Oryctolagus cuniculus: one gene and its partner. The protein of the gene in region 1 interacts with the protein of each later gene in a biochemical or structural test. Links are inferred from orthologs where the notes say so. Each region holds a gene or a part of one and is shown on either strand. Other genes may lie near its edges. The genes, in order: ATP7B and ATOX1.

What was found.
Region 2: the proteins of ATP7B (region 1) and ATOX1 form a complex in vitro, tested with the Homo sapiens proteins (3 studies listed by BioGRID and IntAct). The link is inferred for Oryctolagus cuniculus from reciprocal best matches to the Homo sapiens genes ATP7B and ATOX1.

The regions. Positions count from the first base shown.
Region 1 is NC_091440.1:71,320,561-71,324,364, reverse strand, and holds part of ATP7B (copper-transporting ATPase 2), read left to right. Parts: intron 1-1,072; coding exon 1,073-1,215; intron 1,216-2,555; coding exon 2,556-2,759; intron 2,760-2,842; coding exon 2,843-2,960; intron 2,961-3,804. UniProt on the Homo sapiens protein: Copper ion transmembrane transporter involved in the export of copper out of the cells. It is involved in copper homeostasis in the liver, where it ensures the efflux of copper from hepatocytes into the bile in response to copper overload.
Region 2 is NC_091437.1:38,728,225-38,732,506, forward strand, and holds the start of ATOX1 (copper transport protein ATOX1), read right to left. Parts: upstream 2,920-4,282; 5' UTR 2,734-2,919; coding exon 2,728-2,733; intron 1-2,727. UniProt on the Homo sapiens protein: Binds and deliver cytosolic copper to the copper ATPase proteins. May be important in cellular antioxidant defense.

The DNA of each region.
Region 1 (3,804 bases):
GTCCCCTCTCCTGCTTTCCTGCTGCTCAAAAATGCAGTTTCCTGAGGATGTCAGACAATGACCACCTTTACATTTTTTTAAATAAATCTTCCTTTCTTGAGTTTTGGGCTGTTTTCCAGAAGGTGGTCCTGCCCTCTTTGTACTTCACTCAGTCTGAGGTCCTTTCTGTCTCCCCAGCTCCATCTTTCCACAGCCAGCTCTGCTCTGGCATTGGCCTTCTTACTCTTGGAATTGTAAATTCTCTTCACCATCATCCTTGCTTTTGTCCATGTTGGCAGTCCAGAGTCACCCTTCTCATTTCTGCAGACAAAATATGAATTCACTTCCCAGAAAGGTTAACCCCAGGTGCACATTAGCAGGAAGCTGGAATCGGGAGAGGAAGACTCTGACGTGGCACACGAGCATCCCCAGCGTCACTGCTGCTCCAGAGCCCACCTCTCATCTTCTTTACAGCCCTCTGAATTTTCCCAATTTCCTGCAAGGATCATGGTGCCTGACCTATAGCAAGAACTCAGTACATACTAGCTATTAAAATATGGGGAACAGGGGCTGGCATTGTGGCACAGAGGGTCAAGCTGCCACTTGCAGCATCAGCATCCCACGTGGAAGTGCCAGTTCGAGTGTGGGTTGCTCCTTTTCTGGTCTAGAAGGCCCAAGTGGCTGGGTCCCTGCCACCCACATGGGAGACCCAGAGTGAGATATGGGCTCCTGGCTTTAGCCTGGCCCGTCCCTGACCGTTGGGGGGCATTTGAGGAATGAACCAATGGGTGGAATATTTTGTGCTTTCTTTGTCTATCTGTCTCTCTCTCACTCTCTCTTTTTTTCCAAATATAAAATTATAAAATTTTGAAAGAAAAAGACAAAAATAATGACAATGGTTGTACCTCTCAGGGGGTTGCTGTGAATATTTTGATAGTCCTGCCATGCTTCTATGTGCATATGTAAATGTGCAAAATTTTTAAAAACAATTAAAACCAAATTATGGTGCATACACCTTGACGATCTGGATTTGTGTGTGACGACAGCTGTTCTGCACAGCTGTGTTCTCTCGCTCACTGGGGGTTTGCCGCAGGTGTGCTGTGCGGCATGATCGCCATCGCAGACTCTGTCAAGCCCGAGGCCGCCCTGGCCGTTCACACACTGAAAAGCATGGGCGTGGATGTGGTTCTGATCACGGGAGACAACCGGAAGACAGCCAGAGCCATTGCCACGCAGGTACAGCCCAGGGCTGGGGACCTCTTCCCCCTTTAAACTTACAGGCGGTGTTAAGCTCACAGAAGTAGTTCAGGGGGAAAAATAAACGCCAGTGCCTCAGGCCCTTGGCTGGGCGTCTGTTGTTTCCCCCTCACTGGTCTTTTCTCCCCATGCAGTGTCTCCCACGAGACTGCTGTGGTGCTGCTGCAAAGATCTTGTCACTGGGTCTGGGACCAGCATTTCTGGAAAGAGCGGTTCCAGTGTTCTCTAACCATTCCCCAAGAAGGTCCTGGCTTGAGGGCTACAACAGAAACTCTCTAACCTTCCTGCTAAGGGCCCGTCTTGTGGGCTCAGCTCTTCTCTGCTGTGTGCCGCAGGTGAATGAGTTGGTCCTGGGCGTTTCTCCTGCGCCCTTGATTGTGACAACAGCACTGCTGGGTAGCTACCTGCGAGCACTGGCGCCCCAGGGAATTCTTGAGACTCCACTGGCCCTGCCCTAATGTGTCCAGAGCTGTTTTTGAGTTAGGTGCTACTTCTGAGGGAAGCAGATTACTTCTGGTTTGCAGGCCCTGCTCACTACTGGTGAATTGAGTACGTTTCCCCCCTTTACCTGGTTAAAACGTGTTCCTCCATTCAACAAGCACAGGTGTGACAGGCACAGTGCCAGGCAGGAAGAGTGAAGAGGGGCCTGTCCTCAGGGGCTCATGGTCCTGCGCAGAGGGTGGGCTCAGGACCTGGTGTAGATCTGAGCCCCTCAGCTCCCAGGCTGGAGGGGCAGGGGATGTCCCTAGGGGAGGGAGGCTGGAGTCAAGAGTCAGTCAGATGAGGAAATTGGGGAGGAGTGGGAAGAAAGTTGAAGTTCCCAGGACAGCACAGGTGCAGGAGCATCCCCTGGGGATACGGAGAGGCAGGCGATCTGGAGAAGTCATGGGTTGCTGAATAACGCTGTGTCCAGTGTGGCACCAGCTGCAGGCTGCGGGACAGAGACCAGACACACAGGCATGTGGGAAGGCAAAGTCCTGAAGTTCAGAGACAGTCCTTGGGGGAGAGGGTGGGATCTGCCAGAGGACTTGAAGCAGGAGAGGAATGTGACCAGAGAAGGTAGGACAGCAGGTGGAGAAGAGGCCCGTCTCTGGACAGGGAGGCCAGCCAGGGGCCTGTTTGCTAAGCCAGGGCAGGGAGTTGGGGTGGGAGCAGGGCAGACATTTGCCCCGTGCCCTTAAATCTGTAGGACATGGTTGACAGGTATGAATGACCAGACCTGGAGGCTGAGGGGAGGCGGGGACCATCGTGACTCACGGGCTTCAGTTACTGTTCAGGATCTTCCGCCAACACCGAGTACTGTTTTCCTTTCCTTTCAGGTTGGCATCAACAAGGTCTTTGCGGAGGTGCTGCCTTCTCACAAGGTGGCCAAGGTCCAGGAGCTCCAGAACGAGGGGAAGAAGGTTGCCATGGTGGGAGACGGGGTCAACGACTCCCCGGCCTTGGCCCAGGCCGATGTGGGCATTGCCATCGGGACCGGCACTGATGTCGCCATCGAGGCTGCCGACGTCGTCCTCATCAGAGTGAGCTCTGCCACGTCCAGGTTGTGGGAGTGGTGAGGGCCTGGGGACAGGCCCCTCCCTCACCACTCACTCCTCTCCTGCAGAATGACTTGCTGGACGTGGTGGCCAGCATTCACCTTTCCAAGAGGACTGTCCGGAGGATACGAGTCAATCTGGTCCTGGCACTGATCTACAACCTGGTCGGGATACCCATCGCGGCAGGTAGTGGCAGCTCTCCCCAGCCATGTCACCTTTGACCCCAGCTAAGGCCAGAAAGGGTTCTCTTTGCTGAATCCCTACTAAAGTGAGTGAGGAGACCACCTCCCTGGCTGGCTGGCTGGCTGGCTGGAAGCATTTTATTTATTTCTATTTGAAAGGCAGAGTTGCAAAGAGAGAAGAGAGTAAGGGAAAGAGAGACAGAGAGATCTCCCGTCTATTGGTTCACTCCCCAAGTGGCTGTTTCAGCCGGGACTGAGCTAGGCCAAAGCCAGGAGCCTGGAACTCTGAGGCTTCCGTATGGGTGGCAGGGGCCCAAGTACTGGGGCTGTCACCTACTACTTTCCCAGGCACACTAGTAGGGAGCTGGATTTAAAGTGGAGTACCGGGCTGGTGCTGTGGTGTAACGGGTAAAGCCGCCTCCTGCGGTGCCAGCACCCATATGGGCGCTGGTTCAAGTCCCGGCTGCTCCACTTCTAATCCAGCTCTCTGCTATGGCCTGGGAAAGCAGTAGAAGATGGCCCAAGTCCTAGGGCCTCTGCACCCGCACAGGAGACCTGGAGGAAGCTCCTGGCTCCTGGCTTCGGATTGGCGTAGCTCTGGCCTTTGCAGCCAATTGGGGAGTGAACCAGCAGATGGAAGACCTCTCTCTATCTCTCTCTCTCTCATTGCCTCTGCTTCTCTCTGTGTGTAACTCTGACTTTCAAATAAGTAAATAAATCTTTTTAAAAAAGAAAAAAGAAAGTGGAGCAGCTGGGACTCACACTGGCACCCATATGGGATGCTAACCTCGCAGATAGTAGCTTAGCCCGCTATGCCATAACCCCGGCCCTCCGGAGCATTTTAGAAG
Region 2 (4,282 bases), on another chromosome or scaffold:
TGCAGCCAAAGCAAAACCCACCTTAAATTATAGTCAGTTTTGGGGCTGAATCTGTGGCGTAGCAGGTAAAGCCACCACCTGCAGTGCCGGAGGCCCATATGGGCACCACTTCGAGATCCTGCTGCTCCACTTCTGATCCAGCTCTCTGCTATGGCCTGGGGAAGCACTGGAAGATGGCCCAAGTCCTTGGGCCTCTGCACCCACGTGGGAGATCTGGAGGAAGCTCCTGGCTCCTGGCTTCGGTTCAGCGTAGTTGTGCGGCCAGTCGGGGAGTGAATCAACGGACGGAAGACCACTCTCTCTGCCTCTCCTTCTCTCTCTGTGTAACTCTGACTTTCAAGTAAAATGAATAAATCTTTAAAAAAAATAATTTTTCTTTTCTTCCAGTTAAACACCTGTGACTCCTTGAAGTAGTTTCATGACTTTTCAACAACAAAAACAACCACCTCTCAGGTAACACACTCTTCTCCCTACAGTTGAGAGGCAGTCCCTCAAAACCCTTATTCCCTTCAGCTGTTCATCTTGTGATATGGAGCCTGTCGGGTTTTGTGATGAAGAGGGTCCTTTGTCACAAGCCCTGGAAGGAGACTTGAAACAGACTGACCCTCAAACTGGCCTTCTCCTCCACTGCAACCCCTCACAATCCACCTGGCGGCGTGCCCTCTCCCAGGCCCAGGCTGAGTAATGCTGACCTCAACCACTGCCGCAAGTAGACCTGCTCAACTGGTACTGGCTCATTCTTTGTCCACATTAAGTGCTGGCTCAGGACCACAGGGAAATGACATCTGAGATGTTTACAGCTCTGCTCAGGGGGCCTCAGGCTCATCTGCAAGCTCCCAAAGAGCCAGGCTGCTAAGACAAAGGGGCTCAGCGGGACCCCTCTGGGTCCCCACTTGGTATACAGCCAGGAAACCTGAAACCCTGGAGCCAAGCACTGAACGCTGGGACCTCAACCAGGACCTCAAGAATGCAACTAGGATACAAACTTCCTCCCACGTGGCTGTGACTTCATCAGGTCCCACCTGGTCAGGCCAGGAGACACCATGAGCCTGAAGACAAAGGGGCTTAATCTTGACTCTAACTCCAATACCTTCAGTAAGTTATTAGGCTTCTCATTTTTACTTTTTTTAGAAAAATATTTCAGCCGGTGCCACGGCTCAATAGGCTAATCCTCTGCCTGCAGCACCGGCACACAGGGTTCTAGTCCCAGTCAGGGCGCCGGATTCTGTCCCAGTTGCCCGTCTTCCAGGCCAGCTCTCTGCTGTGGCCCAGGAGTGCAGTGGAGGATGGCCCAAGTCCTTGGGCCCTGCACCCCATGGGAGACCAGGATAAGTACCTGGCTCCTGCCTTCGGATCAGAGTGATGCGCCGGCCGCAGCACGCCGGCCACGGCAGCCATTGGAGGGTGAACCAACGGTAAAGGAAGACCTTTCTGTCTCTCTCTCTCACTGTCCACTCTGCCTGTCAAAAAAAAAAAAAAAATTTCATTTATTTGAGAGGTAGCGTTAATGACAGAGGGAGAGACAGATGGAAGATCGGCCACAGTTGGACCATTCCTAAGCCAGGAGCTTCTTCTGGGTCTCCCATGTGGGTGCAGGGGCCATCCTCTGCTGCTTTCCCAGGCCATAACAGAGAGCTGGATTGGAAGAGGAACAGCCGGGACTTGAACCAGCACCCCCATGCGATGCTGGCACCACATTGCGGGAAGGGAGGGTGCAACTGGTGCAGTGATTAAGATATTACTTGGGATGCCTGCATCCCACGCAGGTGTGTGTGAGTCCTGGCTGCACTTTCCAGCCCAGTGTTCTGCTACTGTGCACTTCCGCAGGCAGCAGGTGATGCCGCAAGTGGCTGCATCCTGGCCCCCAACAACAGTGGGATCGGGACTGAGTTCTAGGTGTCTGCCTGCCGCCTTGCCCAATCGTGGCTGTGGAGGGTATGGGGGGGAGTGAATGAGCCAACTGTCTCTCCCTTTCAAATAACATGGAAACCATTAACTAAAATTTAAAATCTAAAAGATAAGGCATATATGTAAGACCAAGTGAACTGCAAAGCCAGCCAGCAAGTATGGGCATGTGCAAACTGTAGAGTTCGTATATCTCATATTCCTTCCCAAGCTCTAGCGTGTACAGCGCCGACTTTGGGTAGGTTCCTGAAACCTCTCCGAGGCTGGTGGGTCCAGGCTGAGGACCTGACTGCTGGAAAGGTGAAACGCACTGTGTCCACGCAGGGTCGCCCAGCGCTGACCTGAGAGGAGGCCGGGCCAGGTGCAGAACTTCTGTAAACCCGGTCCTGCCCGTGAGGCAACAGCTGGACCCACCCACTTGCTCAGAACGGCCCGGCCAACTCCCCGGCCAGAGCAGGGCGTCCACGTGTAACAGCCGTTCCCGCTGGACACCGACCCTCCTGGGTCACGCGGGCTCACTCCGTCCCCTCCCCGAGACTCCACTTCCCGGAGCTGCAGGGAAGGTTTGCGTTTGTAGCTGCACGAGGCCATGCAGTTCCAACGTTCTGCAGCCAGGCGCCCAGATTTAACTCTTTTCGGATGCGATTTTCTGGAGGGTCCCCGAACCTGGGGGCGGCTGGGGAGGAGGAGGAGGAGAGATAGTTAACAGCTCCAGCCGCGGCCTGAGCCCTGGAAAAGCGACTAGTGGCCGAGCGGCGGTGTGGCCGGGGCGCAAGCCGAGCACCGCAGGCTAGCGCAGGCGGGGACGGCGCGGCCACTTACCGGCATGACAGGCGCAGCAGACGCGGCGGCGGTGGCGGTGGCGGTAGCGGTGGCGGTGGCGGTGGCGGCGGCGACGGCGGCGGGGAGCGGCGGCGGCAACGCGTCTCCGGGCTGCAAGGCGGGACTCCAATGCGTTTCCGGGAGTGCGCGCGAGAAACCCCGCCTACTGGCAAGACTGGCACCTTCTTATTCCCCTCGGCAGGGCGGCGGGGCGGCCGAGCAGACCCCGCCCCTCGGGTCGGGCATCTGGCGGGCCCCGCCCCCTGCAGGCCTGGCGGTCGCCGAGCCGCCAGACACACGAACACCTGGGCACGTTGGCGAGAGGCGGTGAGAGGGAGGCTTCCCTCCTCCGTCGGCTGTTAGCTATTTTGGGGGCGCCCATGTTAGGCCATGTTGGGAACACAAGGCAAAGGCCCGGCAGCGCGGGTCCCGCCCTTCCCTCCCCGACGCCTGGCGGCGCCGAGCGTCCGCAGCCTCGAAGGGAGCGAGGAGGCGGCAGTGGTGGCGGCGCCGGGGTTCAGGAGCGGAGGAGGGGTCTCTAAGTGGGGCTGGAAGGTGGCGGCGGCGGTTCCCGAGAGGAGGGCTCGTCTGAGGGAGAAGCTGCGCTGCTTGGTGGGGACAGGGGTGGGGACAGTGGGAGAGCGCTTTGGGCACAGGGAACAGCGCGCACCCAAGTCGGAAGGCAGGAGTGGGCCCGCCCGGAGAAACCAGCTGGCAAAGAGGTGCACCCACTGCCACGAGGGGAGGCAGGGTTGCTCTGGGAAACTTAGGCACGTCAAGTTCTGGCGTCTCTCTCGCTCTCGCTCTCTCACGCACCACCGCCAGTGGTCATGTGTGTGGACATTCCCTGCCGGTCGGAGTACTTTCAAAGGTTTCTCAGTAGCAGAACTGCTTGGTGAGTTTAGGAAGCACTGGGATTTCTTCCTGTCAGTTGTGAAAATGTGGATGACTAGAGGACGTTACGTTCTTCTAAAAAAAAAAAAAAAAAAAAAAAGTTGAAATATCTTCCATTCACTGATTCACTCTCCAGATGGTCAGAATAGCTAGATCTGGGCCAGGCCGAAGCCAGGAGCCAGCAACTCCATCCAGGCCTCCCACATGGGTGGCAGGGACCCAAGTATTGGGCCATCATCTGCTGTCTTCCCAGGTGCATTAACAGGGAGCCGGATGCTAGTGTGACACACATCATAAGCGGCAGCTTAACCCACTGTGCCACCATGCCAGCCCCAGGCTATTATAGTAAGTAGAATAAGGAAGATAAGTCCCACATGGTCCGAAAAACTTGATTTCATAGAAATTGAAAACAAAATGGAGGTTACCAGAGACTGGGGAGAGTAATGGGGAAGAAGGGGAGGGGCTAAGTTGATGAACAGGGACTAGGTAATAGGTAGGAGAAAGACGGTCTGGTGTTCTATTGCACAGGGGTGATTGTAGATAGTGTTAACATACTGTGTATTCTTTAAAGAGAAGATCCCAGGAGACAGCATTTACAATGTCTGCAAAATAAGAGATGATAAATGTTTGAGGAAATAGATACGTTTACCCCATTTGAATA